Arabidopsis thaliana: one gene and its partner. The protein of the gene in region 1 interacts with the protein of each later gene in a pairwise test. Each region holds a gene or a part of one and is shown on either strand. Other genes may lie near its edges. The genes, in order: AT1G05860 and AT5G44090.

Evidence for each region.
Region 2: the proteins of AT1G05860 (region 1) and AT5G44090 interact in a two-hybrid assay, tested with the Arabidopsis thaliana proteins (one large-scale study listed by BioGRID).

Annotation. Positions count from the first base shown.
Region 1 is NC_003070.9:1,763,176-1,777,585, forward strand, and holds AT1G05860 (INO80 complex subunit D-like protein), read left to right. Parts: upstream 1-5,810; 5' UTR 5,811-5,885; coding exon 5,886-6,463; intron 6,464-6,587; coding exon of another isoform or gene 6,588-6,681; exon of another isoform or gene 6,682-6,784; intron 6,785-6,909; coding exon 6,910-7,174; 3' UTR 7,175-7,228; exon of another isoform or gene 7,229-7,708; 3' UTR 7,709-8,111; downstream 8,112-14,410. Other genes in the region: AT1G05840 (Eukaryotic aspartyl protease family protein), read right to left, coding at 169-244, 366-453, 629-702, 778-940, 1,192-1,419, 2,126-2,373, 2,456-2,585, 2,743-2,975; POM1 (Chitinase family protein), read right to left, coding at 3,658-4,075, 4,177-4,336, 4,555-4,942; AT1G05870 (hypothetical protein (DUF1685)), read right to left, coding at 9,279-9,358, 9,564-10,053; ARI12 (RING/U-box superfamily protein), read left to right, coding at 12,480-12,712, 12,810-12,909, 13,010-13,100, 13,182-13,378, 13,491-13,595, 13,670-13,719, 13,813-13,920, 14,020-14,098 and 2 more.
Region 2 is NC_003076.8:17,738,484-17,756,174, forward strand, and holds AT5G44090 (Calcium-binding EF-hand family protein), read right to left. Parts: upstream 10,043-17,691; 5' UTR 9,427-10,042; coding exon of another isoform or gene 9,277-9,426; 5' UTR 9,112-9,276; coding exon 8,857-9,111; intron 8,769-8,856; coding exon 8,529-8,768; intron 8,178-8,528; coding exon 8,072-8,177; intron 7,970-8,071; coding exon 7,870-7,969; intron 7,419-7,869; coding exon 7,313-7,418; intron 7,194-7,312; coding exon 7,103-7,193; intron 6,753-7,102; coding exon 6,611-6,752; intron 6,314-6,610; coding exon 6,166-6,313; intron 6,054-6,165; coding exon 5,944-6,053; intron 5,513-5,943; coding exon 5,356-5,512; intron 5,255-5,355; coding exon 5,129-5,254; intron 4,922-5,128; coding exon 4,781-4,921; 3' UTR 4,768-4,780; intron 4,629-4,767; 3' UTR 4,283-4,628; downstream 1-4,282. Other genes in the region: AT5G44080 (Basic-leucine zipper (bZIP) transcription factor family protein), read right to left, coding at 304-1,251; ckl7 (casein kinase I-like 7), read right to left, coding at 10,971-11,276, 11,362-11,495, 11,596-11,659, 11,752-11,837, 11,935-12,061, 12,159-12,243, 12,335-12,398, 12,484-12,545 and 6 more; ABCI21 (P-loop containing nucleoside triphosphate hydrolases superfamily protein), read right to left, coding at 15,739-15,999, 16,078-16,164, 16,249-16,385, 16,465-16,516, 16,601-16,761, 17,039-17,189.

The DNA of each region.
Region 1 (14,410 bases):
TGTAAGATATTGTGGGCATTGGATTAAATCACACGGGGTTCATTGTCACTGACAGCAAGAGAACACAATGGGCTTTTTCCACAAACTGAATTGCATGCAATTAAACTTTGTCACTAAGTCATGCTTTTGTATAATGTGACTGCAAACTATGTATCCAATTTAAGGTACCTCCCAAAAGTGTCATGTTTCTCCTATCTCTGGATTGCATTGCGCTATTTTGCCAACCAATGCACCACATTCCTTCCTGTGAAATTTTGGGGTTATGAGTTTGGTATGCAATGGATAGAAAGATTGAGGGTAAAATCAGGTTGCAACAAGAATATTACAAGAGCCAAAAATCAACCATAAAGGCTGAAGATGCTTACATGAGGGAACAGATAGTCATGAGGATAAACCCTGAGGAAAACCGAGTTCTCGAAATGGAAAGTGACATTCGGAAACCCCTCATCAACTCTGCAGCAAAGGTAAGATGTGGTTTTCACAAGAAAACTATTGTGTGATACGTTGACATCACAATGAGCAGTTGCGTACATGCAAACCATCCACAATGATGTCCAACGGTATTCTTGGCAGATGCCTATTTGAAAATTTTGTAGTGTAAATCATTAAATGAAGACGTATAACTAACCTGCCAGAGTACTGAAAGCATTTATAATCTTTATCCACTATGTGAACTTTTAGAGCAGGCTCCTGCGAGGTTATCTAATAAAAGAACCAGATTTATGAGACCCTGCAGTTCAATTTCTTAAAGGAACTGGATATTTTCTTGAACTGTACCTTCTTCACCAATGGTTCATAGATTATCTCTGGAAGATAGGCCAAGGTTGTACCACTGTCAATTATCGCTCCTTTTCTATCTCCAGGTTGAAATAAATCGGCTGGGATAGTTAGAAACTCCTGACCAACTTGAACTGCTGTCATATTGACATTGTAATGTGGTCTGCAATTGAAAACAAAAAAAGTCGGTTAACAAAAAAGAGCTAGAGAAAGAACACATTCACCATTTCAGACGAAGCTTTCATGTAAAGTACACTAATGTTATTTTCTTTCTCTAAATAAGAACTGCAAGAAGTTTCACTCTACTATTTGTAACATAGTGGCTGCCTCTACCAGTATATCATTGAGCTTCTTATGATTGTATTTGAAGTATAAAAGGAAAAACATTATAAAAGGAAAACAATGTTGACGTACTGATTGGGTACCAATGGTGTCATGTTTACTTTTGGTTGCACAACACGTCCAATAGCAAATATACCACCTCCATTTCTTCCATCTAAGCAATGAGCAAATATCTTTTTCACTCTCCCTGATGAGGCCAGCTGGGAAATCATGGAAGAATTAGCTTTCCCAAATCCAAGTATTCCGTCAAGTGCTTCTTCATTAGAAGAGTCTAGATCTCCTGACTGCCTAGCACCACACCTTCAAGATCATATAAAAACATTAAAAAAATGGAAGAGGCAATGAGGAATGACGGATTAAGCTTCCTTGCCGTAGGACTGATAAAACGCTAATGGACAACTATTCTACTTTGTTTACAGATCTCTGAGGGATTTTCTACGTGACCAGCAATTCTCAGGCCAGGATACAAAACTAAAATATAAATATTGTATAAATATGATATTTCTAAATTACTAAGTTTTTCAACGTGTAGAAGCATATGAAATTAGATGAAATGAGCTGTGCTCGGGAAGATACCTTAGCAAACTAATCAACTGTCACAATCAAAAGCACAACATATTCAGTAAAGGTCTATTTGTGATATTCACTATATGGTGGAGAACCTATTCCCATGTTACTTTCAAAATAAAAAAGAATAGATACCAGTATGCACTTCAACGAATCTCAAGATTTTTTTCTTTAAGCAATTAAGTTTTATCTGTTTGGCTTTTGTATGCACTTTGAAAACTGTTGGTCAATTAAGCTTTGTAACAGCGTTTTCCATTTCTTATTTTTTCTGTTCACTTAACAAAATAAAACCTTGACCACAAGGAAGGTGAAATTGTGTTCTTTTCAGTGAGAAGTGAGAACACAAAGAAGATCTAAGAAAGCCGCAAGAACCATGTTGCAGCAGTTTACTAGTTTAAAGATAAGTCATGTAAAGCGAGGTTATTAAAAGGAAACATACCCAAAAATGACACTGCCATTAGCTGTTTGAGTCTTGAGATCACCAGCTACACTGTCATACTGCACAACATCTTTGACAAAATAACCAGCAGTAGAGCTACCATCTCCATATATCTCAAGATAAGGACAAGACATATTAGCTTTGCAGCCAGAGAGAGGACCACCACTAATCTGGTAGCAAAAATCATCATCACAAGAGACCAACTTTCCACTGTCTGATTCGTCAATGTTGTAGAGTGTAAGCTCAATCTGCATAGAGAAACAAAACCTCACCCATTGAGTTGGAGCAACGAAAGGCAAACGTAAATGAGACACAAAACAAAAAGCTTACACCGAGAGTGCTTCGTCTTGGACATTGTTTGCACTGGATGCAGTTAACCCACATAATATCACTCCCTGTGTCGACTTGAACATAATAGCTCTTAGCAGGTGTTCCAATTCCAATTTTTGCATAATAAAGCCTGAGATAAACAATGAAACAGAGAGATCACTGCAAGTTAACTCAAAAATCTCAGCTTTTTAGAGATTCCATAAATTCCTCTCAAAAGGCTCGAAATCAGCAGTGATCAGAGACGCTAAAGAAACAATAACAACTCTTTAGAGGAATCTGAAACTGACCCGGGGATATCAGGGCGACCAGTTCCACCAAGGGGTAGATCGATTCCAGCGAGAATTGTGAGCTGACGCCGGTCATCGTGCTCCTTTAAGGCGGTCAAGGACCCTTGAAGCCTTGGATAACGGTACTTTACATTGAACACTCCGGGATTACAAGAGACGGAAACAAGAGCAGTGAGAAACCAAATCAGCGTGAATCTTCCGCAGATGGGGAAAGATACGATTGATAAAGTCATCTTCTTTCTTCTTCCCACGTGCCTGATGTTTACAGCGTCAGTCGTCTCGGCGGAGAAGTTGAAAGAAACCACCGGACCGGCGGCGACGACGACGACGACGAGGAAGTTCAGAAATTACAGAGTTTGTTTGGTCACTTCTTCCACCAATTCCCGTATTTTATTATTTTTTATTTCCAGCGTGGACTTTTCTTTTTCTTTCGACCCATTAATTCGATATTTTTATGGTTTCATTCAGGTAAATTTATTACATGTAAACTTAGGTGTTACTGACGCTGTTACAACTCATATTTTACTGTTCAGTTATATTATCCTTTTTGTCGTTTCAACTTTCAATTGTAACAAAATTATAAATCATAGGAATTTGTTTCCTTAATTTAAGTATTAGGTTATGAGTTTAAGACTAAAAACCATGTGAACAAATTTATAACAAACGAATAGAAACAAATATCATTCGCAAACCACATTTATGTTTCCTTGCTCTTTCTCTATTTTACACACATTCTTCCAATACAATAATTAAATATGGTTTTACATACAGAAAAATATAAAATGTAATGTTGTTTGCATTATAAGTTCTAGAGGGACAAAAACACACTTCTTCTTTTTTTACCACAAGCAATTTCACTTATTACGTAACATTAAGCAAGAGAGACTTGAGAGCAACGGCGATATATCATAAGACTTACGAAGAGGAAGAGGAAGGTACAGTTGAAGGGTTGAAAGGTTTCTGTTCTGCGCAGCTGAGCTCATCGTTTGGTCCCGCGTCTTCTCTTCCAATACCCATGAGGTCAAGGAAGTATAAGTAGTGTGAGATTATGTTGTTCATTGGATCAATGGAACCTTGACCACATGTGTACTCTCCGTAGAGGACGTTCATGGTGCTGCCAAAAGTCGGGCCACGCTTGGACAAAGTGTCGTTCTTTGTAGGTTTCCAGTTTCCGACAAAGATGTCGTGAGCTGAGGGCTGAGCTCTCTTGATTGGAGTCATCCATCTCCAGATTGCAGCTTGGAATGCAAGTGTCGCGTTTTGCTCAATGTACTCAGGGTGGTTCAAGAGATCAGCTTTCAGGGCTTCCCCAGCTGCTCCGTAGTTGAAGTTCCTTCAAATAACACACAGGTAAAAATACCTTCAGTATGGACGAATGCAAATTGTTTGACACAGTTTTTATCTAGAGCTTCAAAGTAGAAGAGAAATGTGTACCAGTAAATGGGTAAGGCACCGCGTCCGTAGTATTCAGCTCCAGGGCTGCAGGGGTACTTGAATTTCCAGGACTCGTCACAGTAGGATTGCATTGGGCTCATTTCCCTGTTGTAGCACAGACCCCAAGCTAAAGGCCCTCCTGTTGCAACTCCATAGCCACCTATAAGACATCACAGTAACACTCATATGCAGCTTCTTACAACATAGAAACCACCAACTGCAACTTAGGGCATATCCATTTTCATGATTCTGAATGTCGAGTTTGATCAGATTAATATAATGGTATAGCTATGGAGGTAAGCTTAAAGCATCCTTTTTTCTATTCATAGTTAGATGGTCAACTATGTAGAAAGAGGACTAAAATGAAGGAAAACTTACAGGACGTTTTGCTGGCTACATGACCGAGAAAGGCAGCCATTTCTTTCTGTCCCATGAGCTTTCCTCCAGTGGTACCAAAACCAAGAGGCTCAAAGAGGGCAGCAGCAGTAATGAAAGACTGGTAGTCCCAGAAACCAACAGCATGAGCAATGGGAGTGTTCCTTTTGGAAAAGAGTTGCTCAAACTGATAAACCTGAAAGTAATCTGATATCGTCTGGTTACAGCAGTATTTAGACCACCAGCTGCATTCCCATCCTTGCGTGCACACCTTATTTCCCCTCACTTTCTTCACTTTAATCGTTTTGTCCTCTCCATTGGCAACCAAGGCCAGAAATGATACAGCCAGCAGAACCAAAATCACGATTGAACCACTCCTGATTGTCACCATAGCTTACAACTATGGAACAAATACCAGCTACAAGCTGCAAACATCAACAAAAAAACAAATTTAGAAACATCCATTAATCCCAAGTAAGCATCTGAACATTACTATAAAGAAAACAGAACACAAATTACTAACAATACAGATCTACCTTATACAATAGGCACTTAATGCCAAAAAGCTGATTAGAAACAACAAAGGAAGAATTAAACCAAAAACATGGAACTCTCTAAGTTCTTAAGTGAAAAAACTAAGAAAAATTGTTAGATTGACCAATATTATACCAACTTGGAGAGATTGATGTATAAGATATGCGAAGACTTCAAATGTGAGATCACGAATTCAATAACCAAGCAACGAAACAAAATTCTCTAGTCAAGATTTAGCTAAATCGTTACCAAAATTAGGCATAAGTACTTGTGGAAAAAATGCTTACCCGCAATGCAGATCAGCTATAGATCCAGAGAGAGATCGAGAAAACTAGCTTGTGAATTCAACCGACAAAAATTACCCTTTTTGCTTCGTTGCCGAGAAAATAAGGAAGAGATTCTTGGGAAAGAGAGGAGGAAGAAGAAACACTAAACTAAAGCGGGTGACGGATCAGCAGTCTCTATCAACCGTTGGATTAGAGAACAATCAACGGTGAAGATTGCGTTTGGTGTAATGTATGTGTCGGTTAGACAAGACAGCCTGGTTCGTGTTGTGGGCCCTACTTTACTGAAGTGGAGCCTTCCACCGACAGCCGCACACCAGCAGAACCTGATTTAAACCAATCGGTCTACTTCGATTTTTTTCATGGGTTTTCGGTTCATGTTATGGCCCATTGGGCTTTTAAGTAAGGCCTTTCTATAAATGTCAATTTTGCCAGAGTTTCCTGTCTCGTCCTTGTCTTTCCTCTAGCCACTCTTCGCCACTCTCTTTCTCTCTCCCTTGTTTTCCAACAGTAACAATGGCGTCAGCTTCCAAGCAAAACCCTTCTTCTTCCAAACCTCCTAGGCATCCATCTCCGATCATTGCTTCAACCCCCTCGAAATCCGGTGTATTGGAGGAATCCCAATTTCGAAACCCTAATAACCCGTCGACGTCATCGAATTCACCGATTTCGATGGCGGTGGAGGATCAGATCCTGGGAAATTCCAATCACCTCACTCGCCCGGAGCTTCTCCGACGCAGATCGCACAACCTGAAGCAGCTCTCTAGATGCTACAGAGACCATTACTGGGCTCTAATGGAGGATCTCAAGGCACAACATAGATATTATAGCTGGAACTATGGTGTTAGTCCTTTCAAAGATGAGAATTATCACCAAAACAAGAGACGTAAGGTTGAAGGACAAACTGGGGATGAAATTGAAGGTAGCGGAGATAATGATAATAACAACAACGATGGCGTTAAGGCTGGTAATTGTGTTGCTTGTGGTAGTGGATGCAAATCTAAGGCCATGGCACTCACCAATTACTGTCAGCTTCATATCCTCATGGATAAAAAGCAGAAGCTTTATACGTCTTGTACTTACGTCAATAAAAGGTTCGTTCACAATTTCGAGTTTCATAGTTTTTTCCTTTTGATTCGCATCATATTCTCTCGCATTAGGAAATAATAGGTGCTTCAATAAATGCTAATCTGTTTTTATGATTCTGTGAAATTTCAGTTCCTTGATACTGGTTTTGGTTTTGTTTCGTGGTGAGGAATTGAAAGTACTTTGCATTGTTTGTATCGTAATGGGCGAAGATGATAGGAGTTAGGATTGTCTGCATGATTATATCATTATGAAGTTCTTACTGTGATGGTGGTCTAGCTATTATGGTAAATTGGTGATAAAAATGGAGCAGATGTGAGATGTCTGTGTCATCTGTGCTTTGATATCCCTGATTGGAAAGAACTTAAATTTTTGCATTGCGGAGTGCAATGAGCATGTGATAATTATATAATCAGCTTTATTCTAACTCTATGTGGTCACATTGTTCATGCAGAGCTCAGTCGAAAGCAATAACTTGTCCAAAACCAACTCTTGCATCGACTGTTCCTGCCCTCTGTAATGTGCACTTCCAGAAAGCCCAAAAGGATGTTGCTCGAGCTTTGAAGGATGCTGGTCATAATGTTTCTTCAGCAAGCAGGCCTCCCCCGAAACTCCATGACATAGTAGCTGCATTTGTGCATCATATTCAAGCAAAAAGAAAAGATCCACGAAAAGAGGGCAAATTGAAAAGCTTAGTAAAAGAAGAACTTACAAGCTAAATCAAACAGAGTGAGCAGAAGCTGTTTGTTTCCACAATTGTGCAAAAATGGAAGGTAAGATGACTGGCTTTCTATCATCACTAGTGAGAAAGACAGGTACAGGATCGTGTTTGACTGGTGATAGATAGGGTAGTCATCTACACAGAATGTAGTAGATCGTGTTCACACAGAATGTGTTGGTAGGAATTTTTTTTTGTTGTTGTTAAGCTTAGCAAAGCAAAGATGCTTTTAGCATGACTAGCTTCTAGGATGTGTCTCATGGTTTTCGTTTTATTTTTCGTGATTGGAGCTAACAGTTATTTATTTCCATTAAGCTGAGTAGACATGGATTTCAACAAACAACATACTGTGTGATCGTTCGTAATTATCTATTGTTGTCTTGTTGAATGTGGATTAGCTAGACTTGAACCCAATACCTTTGTTTAAGCATTGAAGCAAGCCACGTTTATAATATATAGGTTTGTAATCTCTATTCAAGCAGTTAATCTACCTGCATACCATTTGACCGACCCTGCTTCTGCAATGAATTGACAGATTTAGCTGTGAGTGCCTTTACAAGGTTACAACTTACAAGGAGCTTCAATCAAGCGAGGAGCAACATTGACACAATGGTTTAATTAAGCTGTTTAGCTTGAAATGAGGATATATTTGGAATGTATTCTCTAGGTTCTTTAGTAGATTTCCGAAGTCCTAACAGTTTACTTCTAATTCCTGTGGCAAACTTGATTCAGGCAAACTTAATTCAGGCAAACTTAATTCCTGTGGCAAACTTCTAATTCCTAACAGTTTATTTGGAATGTATTCTCTAGGTTCTTTAGTAGGTTCTTTAGCAATTTCACACTTAATGTTTTAGCAACTGGTAGCTTTCATGGTTGTGTGAAAAACCGATGTTTTTTTGTGGTTCCTGCTGAGACCTTTGTCTACTCCTTAATCTAAATATTTATGCTTTTGCAGTGTTCTCTGAATTTAAGACTTGATTTATTGCAAACTGATTCATATGTTTCCGATTTTTGTGAGCAATGCGTACTCGGAAAGGGCTTGGAATTGCGCGAGTATATAAAAAATCATACATTTTAGAGCAACAACTCTTAAATGTCACGAGTTTGATGTTCAGAATTTCATTGATTAGGTTCTCTCAAGACTTATTGTTGAGTGGAGTCGTTAACATGTATTACAGAACAGTCACCAGAAACTGTTTAAGCTTATATTTACACTCACTCTTAAATTCCAGAAAATAACTCATCTTCAGTCGCCATATAGAGCATCTAGGACTGTAATCAGCCATCATCTTTTAGTTGATGAAGAACGAAAAAGATGGAAACACATAATATTTGGCGTCTATCATCTTTCTCTTCGTCCCACTCGATTCTTCATGAAATGATTAAGGAGCATCACCAAATTAGGTTATCTAGCCACAAGGTTTGTAGATTCAACACACACTCACAAAAATGGAATGAGTTAAAGACTGTCAGAGGACAGTAGTAATGTCAGTACCTTCATAAAGAGGGTTGTAGATTTAGTTACCAAGTTAAGATTAGTTACCTCAGCAAGTGGAGGTCCATAACCAGTTAGTGATAGCTCTCATAAACACAAAGTCTCTCAGCACTGCACAAGGACAACAATCTCCAGCTTTCATATCTCACATGTAATAAGCTTTACACAGTAGCTTAACACATAATCCGTTCACAGAATGGTATAATTGCATCACACTCCGTTAATACTTAATAGACACAGTTAGATTAGTTACCTCAGCGGAATCATGACCAGTTAAGTGAAGTGAATGCTCTCACTACTGCATAAGGAGAAGAATCGAGCTATTAAGATGTCAGATGTTAAAGCTGTAGATGCTGAGACCAGCAGGGAAATGAGAAAGAATTTGATGGTTTTATTCAAGTGATATCTTTTATTTCCGTTCATAAAATCATTAGACTAGATACTACTAACTACTAGTACACATACATGGAATTAAGTGAGAACCATTGTTGATATTCAGTTCAATTTTAGACCTTCCAATGCCACTTTCTGAAATCTCCTCCTCCGCTACCAATGCTTGAGATATTGCTCATTCGCTAGTATTCCTGGTTCAGACGTGACAATGATTCATTCAGCTGCACAATTGGACAGTACAGGCAACGGCTTGTGCCCAGTATTTGAGCCTAGCTTTCACATCATCCGGATTATCACCTGTAACCAACAACAAAATTGAAAACATTCAGACTTCATATCCCAATTTTCCAATTATTGCCATCTCAATTCTCAAAGTCAGATTTGTGGCCTCTGTAACGAAAACGGTATATTCCACATTCTTGTTTAACACTAAAGCAACAAACTTTGAACTAGGATTGAACTTAGATTACCGAATCAATCGATGGAAAGATGAGATATTTACCGGGACTAGAGATCTTCCAATTGGCAATCGGAGTGGCGGTGACCAGTGGAGGCGACGGACAATCTTCCACCGACGAAGTTTCCGGTGATTTATTTTGCTTATCGTCTAAGAACTTCTGGCTCATTGAATAGCAAAGCTCCAAAGCAGGTAAAGTGTTGCAGAGCTCAGGGATCTCGTCGTAGCTAAAACCAAACCCTAGATCTAAACAACCTCTAAGATCTTCGAGGTCGTCATCCGTCAAACTCTTGGATCTCGTCAGATCGTCCTTTTGATCATCCACCGAGGAAGAAGAAGCAGTCTCAACGTAACCTTCCAGTAACACTTGGCTCTTCTTCCTCTCTAGCTTCTTCCGACTACCTTCGCCGGCGACAAATGATCTGCGGCTGGAGATCTCAACCCAGGCTTCGTTGATTCCGGATTCATCGACGGATTCAAAGGCATTGGCAGATGTTTGCCATGGATCTGATGATTTGCAGCGAACACAACCCATGACACTCACTCTCCTCTAGCTCTCTGTGTGTTTCTCTCTGTTTTTCTTATTATATGAACTTTGTGTTGTGTCGGGAGAAATACATAAGAGTCGATTTGTTTACTTATAAAAGCCGCGATGTATGATGATGATGATGTGATGGGTTGGCATCTTCTCGCGTGACTAATGTCGTTTTAAAATTAGTGAGCCCCGACAATTAGGGTATAATTGTCAAAAAGTAAATATGTATCTTGAAATTAAGTAGATGACTAAAATTGGTAATGTGATCCATCAAAGGCACCAAATACTAATCTTTTAACAAAACTTAATTTTAAACTCAAATTTTATTTTAAAGTTTTATTTAATAGTAGAAGTTAACATGTTAGGGAAAAAATCAGAAACAATTAAATGAACAGTACAATTGTTCAGAGAAAATTATGTTATAGTCATCTATAGTCACAGGGGACTGCATGTATATGATGATATGATGTTATAACAGATATAATCATAGAACTGTCATAAACTGTAGATGATAATTAACCTTTATGAATGTGAAACACTGTCATTGTAACGACTTGGATGTGACAAAGATATACACAGTTGGTCTTGCAGCTGGGGACACGTGGTGGATAAGGAGTGGAGAGATGGGAGATACGAATGAATATGGGCCAACAAAAAGCCACGTTGTCGCTCAATAATTTAAGTGGGAGGAGAAGATTACAAAGTCACCATCATTATTCTTCTTCACCTCACAATTATTCATCTACATTATATATGGTCACCATGAGGTCCATGACCCATTGGAAATACATATGACCACATTTTTATACATTATTTCCCTTTTCCATGCATATTTATAAATGAAATGTTCTTAGAAGAATAATATTGCTTATTTTCTTTGTTATATATGTTGGGTTTTTTACCAAAGATTGCCATGCAAGGCATATATATTTATTTGTTTATTCTGGATAAACTAACAACACTAATATTTCGTATGCTTGAAATCAGACACATAATCAACTTTTAGGTATTCATTCATGGTATTATTCATATGTACAAAATCAACGTAGATCGAGAAGATCAGAAAATCAATAGTGATGATGAGATCAACAAATGCAAGGGTGGCATATTCGAATCATTTTATTTGGAAATGACCACATTATTAAAGATGTTCGTATTTCTTATCGGTGCTTACTAGTAGTATCACCATTATTCAGTTTACAAGTCACCATATATAATTATTAATTAACAAAAAGAGACCCCTTTTATGTTTTCTTATAAAAAGCGTATAATTGATTTTGCACAATTTGCACTCGTACGTGGTGTGAGGCTGGGAGGCGCGAGCCATCACGGAGATCGCACTGGTAGGATCCACATGATCTAACGCTTTAGGCTTTTTTTTCTTCATTTAGCCCCTTAAAGGTTTACTTACACACGTCACTTTTGATACACCAAACAAAGATAAAACAATTCATAAAGACACAACACAGTATACAACTAAATAAATACTAACATTATTATGTTTATGTGAAAGAATGGAGTACTTGTGTTGTTATTTCGAAGAATCAACATGGTGAGACGAGTCCGATAATCTAATGTGTTTTACCCATTTGTTTTAATGATCTCTAGTTGTAGATTCCGTGAGTCATAGTGGACGATCGGTTCAATTTTACACGGACTCAGCTTGAGAGTTGAGATGCTGGAGTTGACGTTAACTTATCTATTATTATATTGTCATAAAAATTACATTTTGGTTTACTTGAGATGAGATGTAGTTTCCTTGATTTTTCCTTTTCTTGCATCTCTATTCATATTCTCTCTGTGAGACTCTTTCTTACAAGGAAGCTAACGGAGACCATATAATATTCCCAATTGCATGCATGATTAAAAAATAAGTATGACTTTTTCAATATTTTATTTAATTCTATATGGTTTTCTTAGATGATATTTTTAGACTGAAATCCAGGTTAGTCTTTTATCAATGTGAAGCGGTGATAATTTCACTTGTGATCTCTAGTACAGTAGAACTAATTGATATGATCAGTGTCATGACTATAATAACATTAAACTGTATTTACTAGATTGAAGGCTTTAAGCATAGAGTCTATATAGTATTAATTAGCAAATGTGATAAGGAACAAAACAATCATTTAAATAAAGTAAACAGTTGGACATTTAATTTTACCATAGATAGATCGCCTGTCAACCATTTTATTGTTTAAAAACGATTCCCAATTGTCTTTGGTAAACTCTTGTTTAAGGGGAAGTAGAACAAGTGTTTGAACTTATTGAAAAGACATCGGAAGATGGAAGGTAAAAGCTGAGAAACTTAAAGATTGCTTGTCACAAAAGTAAGAGAATTGTACACCCTTGTCAACGACTTGGTCTTCTTCAATTGAATTCTATAAAAGGAGAAAACGTCCTCTCTTCTCACATTGTATTTTTGTATGGATAATAATTCTGTAATCGGATCGGAGGTGGATGCGGAGGCGGATGAGTCGTATGTCAACGCAGCTTTAGAAGATGGTCAGACCGGAAAAAAATCTGTCCAGCGGAATTATGCAACTGTTCTGACAGAGGAAGATATTCGAGCGCTTATGGAAATTGACGTTCAAAGTGTTTCAGATTTTACTTCCCTCTCCAAAGCTGAAGCCACACTTCTGCTTTCTCACTTAAGATGGTAAATGTTTTTTTTTCTTTTCTTAAGATTTGAATTTCTTCTTCTACAAGCAACCCCTTTTCTTGATCTCTCTGTTTCTTATATTTTATGTACTTAGGAATGTTGATTGTATATGTAAACAATGGTCTGCTGGTGCTCAAAGTGTTAGAGACAGCGTCGGCTTATTGGAGCTTGATCCACCTTCTGATGACAACGAAGTAATTAACAACAATCTTTCAATCCAAATGTTTCTGTTAATTCTACTTTCTTTCTTTTTCCAACTCTAAGTTAATACAAGATCCCTTAATGTTCGGATAGTATTTTTGCGGAGCCTGTGGCGAATCACACCCACATAAGAACTTGGCATCGGTCTCTTGTGGTCATCGTATATGCACTCGCTGCTGGACAAGTATGCATTAATATCTCGTTTGAATAAAATGGTTTTTCTGATCACTCCTTCTTATTTAGATAAATGACATGTAATGTATAGGCCATATCAACAAAATCATCAGTGAAAAGCCAGCTGCTGAATGGAATCTTTGGCTGAAATGTCCTGTTCGTGTTGGTCTCCACGCTTCTTGTCCAGCTTCTGTTGGTCTAGATACGATTGAGAGATTTGCTTCCAAGAGAGAGAAGTTCAATTACAATCAATATCTCCTTAGATCTTACGTTGACAACAGAGAAACAGTAATGACAAGGAATTAAAGAAAACAACGTTAGATAGATCATAGAGATCACTTTGAACCATTTGTTGCCTAAAAGGTTTTATTTAGCTTTTTCTTTTTTTGACATTCATTAGATGAAATGGCATCCTATCCAGGGGTCTAGATGCGCCATTGATCTTAGTCCAGGTTCTGGAAATGCCAGTGTCTCCTGTCACCGTTTGGTTAGATTCTGTTGGAATGTGAGTTTTTTTTAGCTTGAATCCTTTTGTTTTGAAACCATTTTCTATTACTATATATTGAATCTTAGCTTCAGTGCAGAGAAGACGCTCACAGTCCTGTGGACTGTAAAACTGCTGCAAAATGGTTAGCAATACACGTTTCTGATATCCAAAACCCGGAACGTCGGTATATTTCCCATTTATGAAATGATTCAGTCTTTTTGGATTATGATTTTAGGCTACTAGAAAATGCGGTGCCTTGTCCCAAGTGTAAGCTAAGGATCCCACGAAATCAAGATAATTCACTGAAGATGAAATGCTTACCTTGTAACTATGTTTTCTGTTGGTAATATACTTGTTCTTCTAGCTACTATTAGCTCTTATGATCTTGTGGTTAATTAGTATGATCTTACTAGTATGCTCTTTCATGAAATGTCCTCTGCAGGTTCTGCCATGTCGACTGGATTGAAGACATGGAAGGAACTGGTGGTGATTTACACTTTTGTACCTTCGATGCTGTCTTGGTACTTTATCAGCTGATGATATTTATTGAAAAGTTTCTTTTTTATTGATCTTTCATGTACCTTAATTTTCTGATGTTTTTGTAGAGTGATCAACGTGGGAAAATGTCAGAATCTGATTCAAATAGATACGAAGATTGTTATGAAAATTGGGACAGTAATGAATTGGTATATATGCATTTATTTATGAACTTCAAATCCATTATTTACCTATGAAAAATGCATTGATTTCTTTTGAGTTTGTTTTTGGGCAGTTGATGCAAAAGGAACAAGCAAACCTGCCAAAACTAGATACTATTGTAAGATAAATCTATA
Region 2 (17,691 bases), on another chromosome or scaffold:
CAGGAAACGATGTCATCACTGCACTTCTGTTCGCTTTACCTCCACAGACATGGATAAGGACCAAAATCCAGATCTTTCAGAACAAAATGAAGAATCTCGTTTCCATTGGTACCCTCTTCACTATGATCAGCCTAAATAAGATCAATCTCAGCAAAACCAATAACATATGCAATCTAATATAATATATAAGTTATTAACCATAATCATTACACTCTACTGCAGATTATGAATCAACTCTCACACACACATACACAAAGTAAGTAACATTAAGACCCTAAAATCCTCAAAAGTCTATACCTCTTATCACCATTCCAAAGACCGAATCCTGCGTAAAAACCGTGGTGGCTGCTGCTTCGGTTTCTCAACAACAGGAATCACAAACTCCATCAACTTCTGGTATCTCTCTTTCCTCTTATCTTCAATCTCCTTAGAAAGCAACTCATTCTCTTCCTCAAGCTTCGCAGCCAAAGCTTCTAACTCAACTTGATAAGCTTGTTTCCTCTCTCTAGACCTAGCTGCAGATTCACGATTCTTAATCATCCTTCTCTGTCTCTGTGCAGCTGCTTTATCCAATGGCTCAACCATCACTCTCGCTCTCTTCCCTCTAGCTCCTCCTCCGTAAACATCTAAACCATTCCCAAACGCAACTATTGATCCTTCTACTTTATCAATCATCTGAAACGGATTATGCGGCGGTGCAGAATGATCGAATCCGTAATTCGTCACCGGAATCTTCACATCCAAATCCTCCGCCGACGCCGTCACCGCTGTTTCGTCTTCCACCGCAGCTTTCGCTAGAAAATCCTCTAACGTCATTATCTCTTCCGACGTCTCTTCCTTCATCCCTTTACCTTCTCCTGATACCATCTCTCTCCAAATCTCATCAACACTCTTCCCACCACGCGTCGTCTCCGTTCCTCCGCCGTGATCCACAACATCAGAAGCCGTCGTTGTTGTTATCTCCATTGGTGCTGGAGAAGCATCCATCAGATTTATCGACGCATCTAAGAGTGAAGATTCCGTTGGTGCTGGTGGATCTGATGCGAAAGTATCGTGTAAAATCCCTTCGACCGTCATCGAATTTGAACTGTATAATCCGTCGTTTCTTCCGCCGTAACCGACACTTGTTAGATCTCGCCGGAACTGTTGTTGAGGTCTTATAGACGAAGAAGAAGTAGAAGCAGAAGAGATGCGACGAGATAGATCCGAGTTTCTCGAATTTGAAGAACGCATCACCTGAAACGACGTCATTTCTGGAGAAGATGATGAACAAGTTCCGTTTGTTTCGTCCTCTTTCGCCGGAATCGGATCAGAGAATCACTCTGTTTCTTTGACTCCGCCAAATGTTGAACTTTACAGAAGCAGAGATTAGGGCTTTTTGTGTCGAATTGAGAACCTTTGAGAACTTTTGGTAATTTATCCCAAATTGTAATTAATTGACTTTTATTACTTTTTTAAAATACCACGCGCATATGTGGCACGTGAGTTTTAATTTTTAGACTTACCAAAGAAAAGAGCTGATTTTGGTAAATTGGATAAGGTTAAAATCAAAATGGATAAGATTTTCTAACTTTTGGAGCGCGTGGGAAGTTTTGTCGCGTGTCATCAAACTGTAGTTGTCAAACTTGCATCAATTATTTCAAGATCATTAATGTATTATAACTTGACTATTATTACTTGAATTTAGTTAAGGTAATTTAATGACGTTATTTTAACTCGATGGTAGTTGTTTTTAGAGAATATTACACTGTAAGATATTTTTTAAAAAACATTTTTATGGTTAGACACTTTTTAAAGATAAAGCATTTTGAATAGATGATTTGACTCATTTATCGTCTAATCACATATCGTTTTATCTCTCTCCTTCTCTTATTTATTCTCTCTTTTTCTTTTACTTTATCGAGAAATAAACAAAAATCAAGCCAAAAAATAGATTTCTTCCTTTTTCCTTCTTCCATCTTCAACAAATCATCCGCTTTTATGAGAAAGAGAGATTGAAATTCAGCTTTTTAAATTTTCCACATCTGCTTTGATCTGACTTGAAGGAGAATTTTTTCAAACCATCAATTTGAGAATCTGCCCGATCTGGCTGATTTAGTTACATGACTCGTTGAATAATTGAATTGGATTTGCGGTTTGGTTTTTGTTTTATGTTTTTGTTATTTGTTGCAAAATTAATCTGATTACTTGCTCTTTAATTCTTTGTCTTTCTTCTCCAATTTCATATTCGAGATTATTCTCTTAAATTGGAGATTAAAGCCTCGCAGTGGACTTCGAATTATTTGATAGCAATTGTCGAATCACTAATTGATGGAACTCGTTGCTTAGTCCATGTTCTGTGAATTTGATTCATGATTATATTTGAGTTGTATATATTCAGAAAATCTGGTTATCTTATGTGTTCATCATAAACGGTTTATAAGTTTTTTGATGGTTGATTCACTTATTGAAGAACCTTGTTGCTAGTTCTGGTTCTGTGAAATTGATGGAGATTTTAGCTTAGATCTGAGACTAATTTTCATTCACAGATGTTAGACTGATTTCTACGTTTGTGTTTAAGATATAGATGTTAAAAATTTGGAGCAAAATCGAGAAGATCATCTTAACAGAGTTAAATGAACAGATCTCTGTGGATAACGATTTCTGGACACGTTATTCTTTACTTTTTTATCTCAAAATCCAATCGAGAAGATCACCTTAACAGAGCTAAATGAACAGACCTCTGTGGACAGCGATTTCTGGACACGTTCTTCTTTACCTTTTTATCTCAAAATCCAATCGAGAAAATCATCTTAACAGAGTTAAATGGACATACCTATGTGGACAACGACTTCTGGACACGTTTTTCCCTTGAATTTGTGATCATTTATGTTATATCTTGAGATGTTCTGTATATAAAATCAAACTTGGACTTGTATTTTAAAACCTTAAAATCCAATCGAGAAGATCATCTTAACAGAGTTAAATGAACAAACCTCTGTGGACAGCGATTTCTGGACACGTACTTCTTTACTCTTTTATCTCAGTTTACTTGAACTTATCTCTAAGTTTTTTGCTATCAAATTCTATGGCTTTTGAAAAGGAATGACCCTGTTCTTTTTGTAATCGATACGTCAGCGATCGGCGACTGATTTTTTTTTAACTTACTTGCGTGTAATGTATGTAGAGACTAACAGGGGCGGACGCAAGTGTATGAGTACTGGGGCACGTGCCCCATGCAAGATTTGATAATTTTGAAGTTTGATGTGCAATTTGTATTGGAGATGAAAGAATTCGTTTGTTGTGCCCCATGTTATAGTGATTTTTTTTCTAATCAGTTGGTTATTACTCATTATTTTTACTATTTTCAAGTAATAAATGTTTTCAGTATTTAACTTATTTTTCCAAATTTATCTTTTTCTATAACTCTTTGAAAGAATTATGCTAATACAAGGACACTTCAATTTTTTCTTTTTCCATTTACATGTCTTTTAAAAAATGTTTATATTGTATTTTATTTTTAAAATTTATATGTTAGCTATGTTGTGCCCCAGGTTAATTATGGTTCTAGATCCGCCACTGGAGACTAACATCATCATTCTCATGAAAAGAGTCGCAACGACTATAAAAGTGATCGCCGTTTAGTCTAGTGATGCCGACGATACCAACATCTCATGTAAAAGTGGTCGCAACGACACCCTTACTATTTATTCTCCGTTTTCTTTAGAGAGGCTTCTCCGTAAAGAAAAATACAGAAGCTACACGATCTTGACAAACTCTCAAATGTTTGATTTTGCAAGGAAAGAAAAAAAGTAATAATGAGAAGAGAGAGAAAGAGAGTGAAAAGAAGAAGCGACGAAGAAGAAGAAAAAAAAAGGAACGTGGAAAGATGAAACTTTTTTTTTTTATTATAATTTCTTAATTTTCAGAGATAAATTGGTCAAAAGTTTAATGAAAAAGTTGGAAAAGTGCTTCATCCGTGACAAGTGCCTCAAAAAGAATAAAATTCTTTAAAAATGTCTAAACGTGTCAAATTCCCTTATTTTTAACCGCCATAGAAAGTGAGTTCATGCTTGTTAAAACAAAATGCACGACTTTTTAACACATCTTCCAAAATATCATATTGACAAACAAAGTTTTAATGATTCTTATACAAACAAATAACCAATGTCGGCTCAAACCAATCAAAAACTGATATATAGTATATAATTTGATTTGATATTCTATAGTTTATACGAGAATTGTAGTTGATATCATAGGCACAAATTTGCTAATGAGGAAAAAGCAAAAACAATGATCATGTAAAACAAGTTTCAAGGTTTGTAAATTTCTTCCCACAAAAAAAAGTGTCTTTGTACATAGTTCTTTCGATTTTAAATAAAACCGTTGTTGTTGGTTCCACAAAACACTATAAAGCGGCGTATATAATAATATACATAAGATTGAAAGAGGGTCCAACCTGAGAAACCTAAGCAAGACAAATATTTCATGAAACTAACACAAGCTTACGCATCGGATAAGTCTCTTGGTCGCCAATCTCTAGGTGGAACCGTGGAATGGACTGGCTTTCGTGGTTGTCTGTCTGAAAATTGTTTCCGAGGCTCTTACCACCCAAGAAGATCTGACTTCTCCCTCTTCTTCCCAAGAAACTAGTAAAAAAAGCAACGAAAACGGCTTTTAATACGTTTAATATACCAAAAGATACAAACTTGTAACATTGAGCACATCAATTTTGCTATTTCATACATGCATAAGGAACATGATGCTGACCAGTGTTGAACAAAGTACCTCTTACGAGTCACTAAAATGGAGATTCGAGTGGTTCATCCCAAACATCTGCACTCCCATTCGAGACTTCCTCCACATCTTCCTCCATTGACAACCTCACATACTCTCTCTGAGCAAATCGGTCCCATTCCGTCAATGTTGGATTCTCACGTTCCTGTCAAATGGAAAACAAAGTTGGTTTAGAAGTAGCAGAGACTGGAACAGATACAACCGGCTGCAGTAGTAGGTGACTATCTGAACTTATAATAATTTTTGCGAATTTTTATGGCATTAATAAATATTCAGTAGTAACAGTTTCAACAGCTAAACGAAGGATTGAATAACCAAAGGGAGGAAAACTCTATAGAAAACCTATGTTTACCTGACGAATGAGAAAAGGGTCACGGGTTTCAAACGCCATGAATTTGTTCAGGTTAAAGAGTATATTGAAAATATTTCCAGAAAGTTTGGATGCTTTCAGATCCTGGAGTGTGATGCAGTTCTCCTTCTGAAAGAGTCATTCGACAAATTGATGATGCGAATAAGAGCAAAGGAACAGACAAGCCAGGAATATCAAAAGACCATGTTATGGTTTAAAAGAAATTTTGCCTCTGGTTTAATCATGTCGAATATTTGACATAGGATATCTTCAAAGAGTACAGGTTCCTGGGTTATACATTCCATGCGATGCAGCTGCTCTTCGTAGAAAAACTGCATCTCGTTGGGAGTGATCACCCCATCTCCATCTAGGTCTATGCACTTGAACCTGCAAAGATGGTTTTAATCAATATCAAGGGAAAACGAAAAACAAAAAACTGCCAAGAACCTGTGTTTAACATCGATGGGAGATAGATGAGCATACCAGCGAGGTATGCCCTCATATCAGCGGTTCAACTGAAAATGTTCTAGATTCATGAGATGATGAATGAAAATGTTCTAGGTTCATGAGATGATGAATGAAAATGTCTTAGATTCAAGATGGGTATCCTATGTTCATGAAATAATAGTACTACTAAATGTTTAGTGCGTTCAAAATATCAGGTAGGCTTGTATCATCAAGAAGGCCACATATGCCACAAGTTTTGGCTCAGAAGTTATACATTTATAGTGACATACTGTGAGCTAAGCAGCTAAAGGACAAAATGGCTAAAGAGAAGTCACTAAAGACAAAAAGAGAAGAGGGGAAGAGACATGTACCAATACTCAAGACTAGGCTCAGATGACTTATCCTCCTCAGCGAGAATAAAGTATGCAAAATCTTCATAACTCATCTTCCCCTCAACTTTGCTTGTAAATTTCCTAGGAACCTGAGTGAGAGACAGCCGTAATTTCAATTAAGAAAGAAGGAAACACACTCCATAAGATAACAATTAAGTTTCGAGAAAAGTGTTCATTAACATTTTGACAACTGGAGCCAACCTGTGAAAATATTCTGTCGACAATCCTGTAGGTAAGGGCATGATTACCATATTTGATGAGATTTTCCTTATCAATAAGGAAATCATGGTCGCCATCGAGTTCCCAAAATCTGCAGTATATCACGTAGAAATGCTCATAGGAGAAGTACCTGAAAAGTAAAGAAAAGGTCATATTGAATGGTCAAATCATGCATGATGTCTTGCCACAGTATCACAATATGAACTACCAATACACTTCTTCCTCTTTATGAGTTTTATGGGTAGTGCTTATGTCTAAGAAACAATTCGAAGACCTATGCACTACCCATATTACTCACAATGCTACACACCTTGCTGAGCTTGAATTCTTAAACAACTTAAAGTGGTCTTTATTATACAAATAAAACTAAAATCTTAATCTTTTTAACGTATTGTTTAAGAAATAATGAAAAGGAAAACAAAGTCACCTAATAACTTTATTGATGTCGTCTTCTTCATCAACTTGTTGCATGGCAGTAATAAGATTCCCACGCTTCAGCTCTCTAAGAGTAATGCAACCAGTACCTGATCTGTTTATGTAGTAAAATATTCTGTAGATGACGGTCTCAGCTGGGTTGACGGAATAGAACACAGAGATGAATGAAACAAGCACGGGAAAAATTATGAATTAGTCAATAGATGTATAAAACAGTAAGCACCTGAAAATATACTATATTTAAGAAGCATCTCATAATTTTCAAAATGTAATTATAATGAACAAGTACATAGAATTAAAATTAGAAGAATTATTGCCTAGGCCAATCAAGCCAGCTAAAGATGTCACTTTCAAGTTCGTCAATGCGTTTTGAAAGATCATATATATATGGAAAGAAATTGTACGAACGTCTTAGTAGAAAACAGACATTCTGGTAGAACTATTTCACACCATAACATCAATGTATCAAAAACCAAGTTCTTACCATATCTTTCTTGAAACTCAGGTGTATTCCTCAGGAATTCCAAGCCGGGATGAGTTGTCAGAAGCTCATCAAGAACTGGTTTGAAGTCAGCCTATCCCAAATCCAAAAGAAGACATTAGCCTTCAGGACTAAAGAAATCAAGTGAGACAATAATCATTGGTAAACAAATCAAAACAGCAGTGAAGAGCTGGGAAAAGAAAACAAAGAGACCTGTCTAAGGTACTTGCAACCTGGCTGCCTTAAAATATTATATATCTGTGAGGCTACGTCCATTGCCAACATATGTCCATCAACCCAATACTTGATAAATGCATCCCTGCAGGAACCAAATATGGTGTATTTAAAAGATACTAGCTAAACAGAAAGATTACAGCTGCTGTATATTTCTATGATATTACTCATGATTTGGCTAATTTAAAGATGTATCAATTCCAAACAATATCTACAGGGTAGAAACTTCAATATTACTTATCACAAATGTTCTAAACAATATATAAAATCGAGCACACTAAATTTATTGAAAGTAAAAAGAAATTATATTCGAGTGGCATAAATAAATAAAAAGATAACAATCAGGTATTAAAATTACTATGCCACATTCCATTTCTTTTAAGGGTGAGCAATTTATGAAACAAATAGCTGAGCGTGCATCTGGAAATCCAGACCAATGTGATCTATTATTATATTACATGAAACACATATGAATACCAGTGGATATATACATTTAACTACAATTACATATGAAAAGAAAGAACACAATGATTTACCTTGTAACGATACCGGTGCCACTCGTGTCTATCTTTCTAAATAGTACAGAGGAAAGAAAAGAAGGCAGCTTGCAGACTTCTTTAGTAATGGATTTGAATTCTGCAATTGAACAATAGCAAGAATGTGTTTGTAAGATCAACTGTTTGTCTATTCATTACAGAACGGGACTGTGATGTAAAAAAGCTTGTATTTAAACATCACCATCCATATGAAGTCCGTCTATATAGTTACTAAAAAATTGATCAACCATGGATATACATTGCTCCCTTAGTTCCTTCGCAGGTGGACGTCCATGTTGGAAGTAAAACTGCATAGCATATCAAGGCATAGAAGCGTCAAACAAGAATGTTGAACAATATTAGCTAAACCCTTCAACTATGTAAGATGTCAAACGGATGACCATAATAAACTTACTTGTTGTCATCGTTTTGTTAAAAAAAAAATTGTACCTATGCTACTTGAACGAAGAATTTAGTTTCTATTGTATTTGTTCTCGTGGTTCTCCATCTACTTAGAAAACTATTACAGTCTAGTTTCAACAATTACGTGAGCATATATAAAACAATCAAATCATGATGTCAACTGTCAAGCAAGGTAGTGCCTTCTCATGTTGTTTGTAAGACATCCATATGAGGAGCAGTTGGATAAAAAATCGAACCTGTGGAATGAGTTGGCGCTTTGGTTCCCTGACTGATTTCAGAGGAGACTGTAGAGAAGGGCTTGTCTTTTGCCTCGAGAAACGGGGAGACCCAGGTGAGCCTCGTGGGGATAGTGGGGGAGTGCCGCTGTTCAGAAAAACAGATGGCAATGCACTCCCGCAAGCAACATTGAGACTAGTACAATTTTTGGATACACTGACTGGGGTACTAGATTTAGTATCATCAATTAAAGACTTGACCTGCACAAACATCACACAGATGAACTGTTAAAAGAGGACCACGTAAAACCTTAAACGAAAAACAACCACCAAAAGTTTCTTCACCAACATGAGTCGGCAATCGGCATACAACACTGGACCATATTCTCAGGAGCTTTAAGTTAAATCTGGTACTACACAAATACAAACACTTCTCAAGTTTAGCAGAGCCTTGTAATATCCCAGTACTATTATCACCTAAGTCATTATAACCCCTAAATGTGCTATTCAAGCACTCTTTATCTAACACTAAGTAAAATCTATAAGAAATAAACAAAACTACTAAATATGCAACAGCCGAGGATTCAGTAAGAGCAATAAGCATGTTGAATCTTGCTCTGCAGAAATTGACTTGAAATCAGATAAAGTCACAACAAGGACTTACGAACAGGTATCAGCATATACATAAAACAGGCGCCAACTATTAAATGAACAAGAAACCAAACGACGCTAAGGAGCCACTGAGCCAGAGGCTTGGGAATAAAATTACCAATCGGCCAGTTTCAGGAAGTGAAAGCCACTGGGAGAAGAGTTCTTCAGCAATATGAGGATTTTCTTTAAGTGATACAGGAGACAAACCGGGAAGCTGCAAGAGCTCAGGATCCAAAATCTGAACATCGTTTCCACCATCGATTTCCATGATTATCTTCTATCTTATTCACTGAGAATCAGAACTACAACAAAACCCCAATATCGGAATTCCTTGAGTCAATTCTAAAATTGGATCGAAACCCTAATTTCTTCCAATAACTTGAAGCAGTAACTCCAAAACAGGATTCTCAGACTTTTCAAAGATCTATAAGCACGAAATCCAAAGAAAATTCAATAAAAGCAGCTCTGACCAATCGAGAAACTCTCTAACTAGTTGAGAAACACCAGCTCGAAGAAGAGAAACTAAACGAAAACCAAAATAAACGATTCGATAAACCCTAGATTCCCAAATTCTATCAACAAGCAAAACAGAGTCCTATACAAAACTTCTTCTGCAATTCAAGCACAAACGTGGAAGAAATTGGAAGATCCAAAGAACACTGATCTCTCTCTCCGATCAATAACAAGCTCGACGACGAGAGGAAGTCGTAGAGAATTTTTCCAGGGAGATTGTGTTATTGATGAGAAAATGAATTAAAAAGGAAAAAGTATTTAATTTTGATTTTAATACTCTCTCTCAGTCTCAGACGCAGTAGTACTAGCGGTGGTGGTGGTATTTTTGTTTTCCACTTTTAGTCCTCAACGTTGACCAAAAAGTCAACCAAATCCAGCGTTCTTTATCCGTTTTTGCGATCATGTTTATTTGAGTCTCGAGTCAATTAATAAATCGCAGAAATTAGCGATCAAATTGTTTGTTTGGTTGTTAAACTTCATGACGTTTCGACTGTTATCATCAAGATTGCAACTGATTCATTAAAGTCATAAAAATGTGACTTCACATGTGTAAACCTAGTTTTGAAGAATGATGATGAATATTTGTCATTTCTCAAAAATTGTATTGGAGCACTTGCTTTTTTAGTCGAAATGCAAAAGTATGTAGGAGTAGATCATATGAATCTAAAAATGAATGTATTTTATATGTGTAACTTCAATATGAAATTCAGTTTTGCCACTTTATTCGAAGATGAGCGCTAACAAAATGTGAAGAGTTTAACTATAACCATTCAAGTATACGATCAGTGAATAAGTAAACATTTGAAGTATGGAAAAAATAAAAATAAAGAGTTTTAGATTGGAGTCATCTAAAGTATGATTTGACTAAGTAGATGAGCTAATTTTACTATTAAGCCAAAATTTCACCGTTTTTACATGATTTGACCAGAGTATGCCTGCCCCAAAAAAACAGAAGCATTAAAAGAGACCAAAGAGCAGTTGATTGTTTTGTTTATTACAGTACCAGTACAGATAGGTTCGAAGTAATCGAATATACGGATAGAAATTTTACCGTTTTTACATGGAAACTCTCTCTACATTTTTGATTGTTATGTTTGTCTAACACATATCACGATTACATAAACAAAACGAGTGAAAAAGATCTCTGCAAGCTGAAGCTGAAATTACATGTAAAAAGATCTGAGGATTTCATCAGGTTCAAATATATGAATTCCCTCAAACCAAGATTCTCATCTTTCTTCAGAGGTAATTTCTTTGGGTTTTCATGGAGTTTGCTGTCTCTCTCTCCATCATTTTCCTTTATTTCCGAAGAGAGAGAAGCTCGAAGCTTCTTAATTGATCTTCCCGAGTGTTTCTTGCCGCTGTTGCACGAGAGAAAGACAGAGTCTTGGATTCATATCCAGCTTGCACTCTCTGGCTAGTTGAGGGACGGCCATTTCCACTGCCGCTGCCACCACCACCGCTTGAGGAAACCAGACGACTTGAAGTTCGGCTTTCGCTTGGTCCACCTGCAGAACTTGGCCGGGAGCTTGAAGCAGCAACGGCTTTCCTAGAAGAAGATGCTCTATATCTTGAGGAACTGTTTGCTCTTTCGGAGTCTCCATGCTGCACAAATAAAACAAACACAGTTAGGTCTTTGTCTTATTTAGCGGTTCTGATCAACAATGTATGTAAAGAGTAAGATTTTTACTGTCTGCTTAGAGAAAGGTCCGTCGTCTGAGTTTCTTGATCTAGAACGATCTCGAGGCGAAGAAGTTGTAGTCGGGTGTCTTCTGGAGAATGCCTCCACTGCACCTGGGATTTTATATCGGGTTGTTTCCTTTCCTACACGAATGGTAAATAAAAAAAGAGTAGAAATTAGAGTGAGGAATGGATGTGTATGGTTTTGAGATTTTTAATAGAAGTAGGAAAAGCAGAATTTTACCTAGGATCCTCTCTTGTCTTTCAATAGGATCTGCGTTGAATCCGGGTTTCGCTGTTGTATGATGCTGGAAAATCCAAAGATTTACATTTACGTAAGTACAGAGAAACTCAAAAACCATGAGGGTAAAAACACAAGTATAAGATTTTTAATAATCACCCTTGTTCGTGAACTAGAACCAGAGCTGGATCCGATTTGAGGATACTTTAAGACTGTCCAGTCAAATACATAATCGAATTGATAACCTGTAAGAGTTTCAACAATATGAAAAAGATAAGATGAGAGTGGCTTGAAACAGTAAGCGAATAAAATTTCTCGGAATAATGATGTTAAGATAAGAACCTTCTCGGATAAACAAGTCACGGAAAAGCCTCTTGAGGTAAGAGTAATCAGGTTTGTCATCAAACCGTAAAGATCGGCAGTAATGAAAGTATGAAACGAACTCGGACGGTTGGTTTTTACACAATACCTACATCGAAACATTCCAAGCTCAGTTAGAAAAGCTAGATTACCTACCAATGCCAAAATGAAAATCCTTTCGGTTTGTCAAGTTGTTGTAACCTAACCTCTATAGGAGTTGACACTTTTTTCTCGCTGATTCTGTCATACTTCTGCTTCTTTGTCCCAGCTTTTAATCCCTGCCAAGGTAAGCTGATAGCCCAAAAAAACATATGGTTTAAACTCTGTTCAAGAAAATATACAGAATTTTACAGACTCAGGTAGAGAAGCTGTAGACGCTAACCTTCCTTTGAGAAAATACATAAGAACATAACCAAGTGATTCCAAATCATCCCTTCGACTTTGTTCTGTTTAAACATCAGCGAAAACTAATTAAGTATTTGACGGAAAATTTTTATGAATACATATAATTCCACAGATCAACACTCTTACCGACTCCAAGGTGAGTGTTAACACTTGCATACCGAGCTGTCCCAGTAAGATTTTTGTTTTCTCTGCCAAAATATTAGAAATTTCCATTGAGATCACGTAAATCAAGATGCAAAAATGCAGATCCTTGAGTAAGGATAAAGGAAAAAGGGAGAACACAGCATATTCTTACCTGTAAGGAATGTGCTTGTGAGTCTGAAGGTCTCTGTATTTCTTCCCTAGTCCAAAATCAATGATATACACCTGAGATATAAAGAGAGATAAGTTATCTCAGAAGTTTGAGACAGAACCCGCCATCGCAACTACATTTAATGTATAATCATAATATGTCCAAGAACAAGTTTTTGCACCTGATTTGCTTTGCGTCCAAGGCCCATTAAAAAGTTGTCAGGTTTTATATCACGGTGAAGGAAACCTCGAGTATGCATAAACTCAACCCTGTTAAGCTGAAACATAAACAGATAAAACAATCTCCTCCATTACAAACAAATTCATATATTCAGTGAAACAGAAGAGCTGGAAACCAGTTAGCAGATCCATAAACTCACTAATTGGTCGGCAAGCATGAGAACAGTTTTCAATGTTAACTTTCTGTTGCAGTAGTTAAACAAGTCTTCAAGACTAGGACCTAGAAGGTCAATAACCATTACGCTGTAGTCACCTTCAACTCCAAACCACTTGATGTTCGGAATACCAGCTTCAAAACAAAACAAAGCAAAAACTGTTTTAGTTATTTGCAAAGAAGCATATGCAATGAATCATCGCGAATCGAGAAAGTTCTACTATAATGATAATGCTAGTTTGTAAGTGACACTTACATCCTCCTTGAAGCAGCATATACAACTTTGACTCATAATGAAGTTGTGGATGTTTGGTCTTCACATTTTCCTAATAATTGGCATCAAACAAACGGAGGGTTAAAAAAAGAGTAAAGAAGCAAATCCAAAGCACACAACAACAAGGGCGTCTTTAATAACAAATTTCTCATAGCCTTCATGTGACAAGAATTATACAAACAACATCACATGAAAGTTGCAGCTGAACAAAAAGAACATTTCTTTGTTTGGCATAGAGAGATTAATGTTGTTGATAAATGTGGTAAATTCTTACCAGCTTGACAGCAACTTCTTCTCCTGTTTGGACATTTACACCTGCAAAAATCCCTCAACATTAACAACATGTAAAATTGAAGAAATCTACAAAATTTACAAAAAAAAAAAAAAAAAAAAATCGTCTACTTTGTTACCTAGATAAAGCTCTCCAAATGATCCACTACCAATTTTCTTCCCAAGCTTAAATTTCCCACCGATCACGAGATCCATCTTCTCCGATCTCTCTCAAACCTCAAAATTCCCAAAAATCGATATCAAAAAGAAACCTCCTTTTTTCGTTAATTAGCCCCTGGATCTGTTTTCCAATTCAGCATTTAAAACTCAGATTCACGGATTTAACATCGAAAAACCCTTCAGAGATTGAGATTCCAGAAGTCAATTCTTCATCAACGACCTTCGAAAACAAAAACCCACCATGAAATCAATAAATCTCCGAAAACTTCATCGCAAGAGACCCGATTGCCAAATTGATTAAAACCCTAAATCAGATTTAGAAATCGAACTAATCCCAATACGAAAAGCACAAACTTTTAGATGGATTTGACCCGAGAATTGGGCACGAAATATTGGGTAAATTGGTTAATACGAAGAGAGACGAGAAGAAATGGAGATTTGTGACATTTTTTTGTCGTGCCTTTGTGTTTTTTTTGTTTTGGGTTTCCTTTAGAAAAGATTTTTTTTTATTTATTGATAAGTTAGGTTTTAATTATTTTTACAGTCGGATAAATTAACAAAAATATCCAGATTAAGGTTTTGTGTAGGAAACAAACAAAAAAAGGTGTGTGAAGAGGGGAACAAAAGTTAATATGGTGGTTTTTTGGTTTTTGATATTTAGAGGTTAAGCGTGACATGCTCTAACAGTTGTTAAATTTTGCAAAAATTGTTTTTACACTAGTATTTTAATATTTTTTATTGTGTTACAGCAATTTTTGTGTTGAAAAAGAAAAACTATAAACGCAAAAGGCAAAACATGTACATGCTTTTCTATTTTTATATAGTTTATTAAAAATAAAAGTAAAACGTTAAGATTTAGTATTTATTTAGATTTCTCTACTATGAGTAGGTATTTCGGTTTAACTTCGGGTTTAGGTTGGGTTCGATTCGATCGGATATTTTGCCATGCGAGTGTTAAGAAGGATCCGCTCCAAACCAAAATTTGGACATAAACAGTTAAATATTGAGTTAATTTCAAATAAGGCATTTGTTTTATAAATATATTTGCTTTTAGGCACTTTTGACCCAGCATTCAAAAACAGGTACTATCACTACGTGAAAAGTCATCTTTCTCCCTCATTCACTAGTGTCATCTTCTCCACACGTTCTATTTACTCACTCGCAAAGGACGAGACATGTGAACGGTTTCAATCGTTGAATCCTCAACGTTTGGTTATAATAGTTTATTAAGTTAATGCAGCGTTGAAATTGGAATTCAGAAACTGATCAAAATGGAATATCTGGCCGATGAAGATGATGAATAGAGAAATGTCGGTATCAAAAACAATTTTGATATTCCATGGCGATGTCTGATTCCAAATTTTATGATTTCTCAAACAAAAAGCCAATTAAGTGAAGTTTAAAGAGGAATCGAGATGCCTTTGCGTTGATTTAGAATTCAATTATAATTTATGGGTTGTTGTTCAGTGGCATAATTACACAAATACACATGTATATACATGCATATATACACAAAATCAGAACTGAAATTCCATAAAATCTATAAAATTTTTTGATTGGGTTCCCTATATACTATCTTAAGGTTTAATATTGTGTAATTAAAAAAAAAAATTAAGTTTGCTTGAAAAATTAAGAAGAAATCGATTTGATCAGATTCTGCAACTATGTTCGATGAAGAAGAAGAGAAAAGAAGACAAGGACAAAATTGTCCCAATTGAAGCAATAAATCGATACTGTTACATTCAACTGTCTAAAATACCTATTTTGAAATAACTTTATTTAAAATGCCTATTTTGAATATAAGCTCTTAAATATTGGCAAAATAGTAATTTAATTAAAAACGTGGTTTTACAGAAATTCTTTCATGTGTGATAAAAGTTATCGGATTCTAAACAATGAAGTACCATAGAAAACAAAGGCATCTGTAGAAGCAGTGCTCTTATTCTTACTGATCTCATAAACAAGTTAAGATTCATCGGTAATATGCCATTTGTCTAGACGACATAAATGGAGAGGTAACAACAGGTTTCTTCTTCGTCTTTTTCTCAACTTTGGTTTCAGACCGGAGCCAAGCTTCAACAACAGATAGCAGATTTGGTGAGGTTTTGAGATCCTTGATCTCATCTAACTTGGCCGAGAGTTTCAGCTCTCCTCCATTAATGTAAGCCAAATGACTAGCCCATGTCTCGAGCCCGTCGAAAATATGAGTTGCATATACAATTGTAGCTCCTCTCTACTCAAATATAAAACATGAAAATCAGCATTTGATATTTCTAAACATAAGATGAGGGGGGGTTAGTGAATGGCTTACCTGTTCACATTCTTCTTTAAAGAACTCCAACAAATCCATCCTAGCAACAACGTCGAGGTCAACAGTAACTTCATCCAGTAGTAATACCTGTGATCATTACAATTTAAGTATCAGATATGATCAAAGAAAAAACAGAGACCACAATGAAGAGTTGATTGTTGTTTATACTACCTTGAACGGATGTAATAGACCCATACATATTTGCACTCGACGTCTCTGCCCATCAGAAACCTTATGCATACGCCATTGAAGATTGATATCAAGAAGATCAATCAACTTCTCTCTTCTGAAAGGATCAATCCCTTCAACTAAACACAAAACATATTCAGAGTATAAGCACAACGAAACAATTCACTAAAAACTCATACTAGGATCAGAGAATCTCACCTCCAAATATCATATGTTCTGCTGAGAAGTCTCCTTGGAGTGGAATATCACCCTAAAGAATTTTAAAGAATTAGAAACAAAACGTTCTCACATCAAAACTCTTGCAGTGTATTAACTTTGAGATCTCAGTACTCACAGCAGAACCAGCAGTTTTACTCCATGATCCTCCTAGGTAAGACAAATCACCACTACAAACAAGCTCTGTATCATGAAATGCTGAGCGATCAAGCACTTGTACAACATTCTTTCCTCCAACCATATGTTTTCCAGCAAGAATCTTCAATAACGTAGTTTTCCCTGTCAATGAAACGCGCAACGACAATCACCTTCTCAGCAGAATCAATCAAATTCGAGTATTAACATGATACATATAGTCGAAAAATCGATCTTACTTACTCAAACTCTATACATATAGTCGAATTCGACGAATTAAACCGAATTCCAACACTACCAAAACAGAATCACACGAAATCACATAATACATTCTATATTCGTCAAGGTCCCAAATCGATCTACTTCAGATTCACAGAAACAGAAACACACACAAAATCGAAATGATTCGAATAATTTTTACCAGATCCATTGGCACCAACCAAGAGGCAACGAGATCCAGCGGGAAGATCGAGATTAAAATCGAAGAAAATAGGATCTTGAACATCGTAAGAAAACTGCATTCCACTAACCCTAATTGCACCGTCCACCGCGCTCGCATTTTTCTCCGCCATTTTTTCCGATCAAAGAGTCAGATAGAGAGAGGGAGAGATTAGTAAGTAGTAAAGTATAACTCCTCTGCTTAATCTGTTGGCCTTTAAATACGTTCCGTTTTAAACAAAGACCTTATTAGCCATTAGATTTCGGCCACGTTATGTACTTTTCTGTCCATTAGATTTACATACTTTAGTCTTCCGCTAATACGTTTAACCAGCAGATAGCTGCCACGTCACTCTATGTTGCTCACCGACAAAGAATTAAAACGACGGCGTTACGTCAGTTTTCATTAATAAATCTAATTATTAATTTAAATAATAATATATGGTAAATATGTTTACAAGGTCCCACAAATTATTTATTTATTAATTAGATAAAAACACTGTTATTTTATTGAAAAAATTATGCACGGATTAAATTAGATATTTGAAATTAAAATTAAAGCATTTGATGTATTATAAATAGATAAAGAAAATGAGGTAATATAAATTTGTTAAGCATGACAATATTTTGGCGACT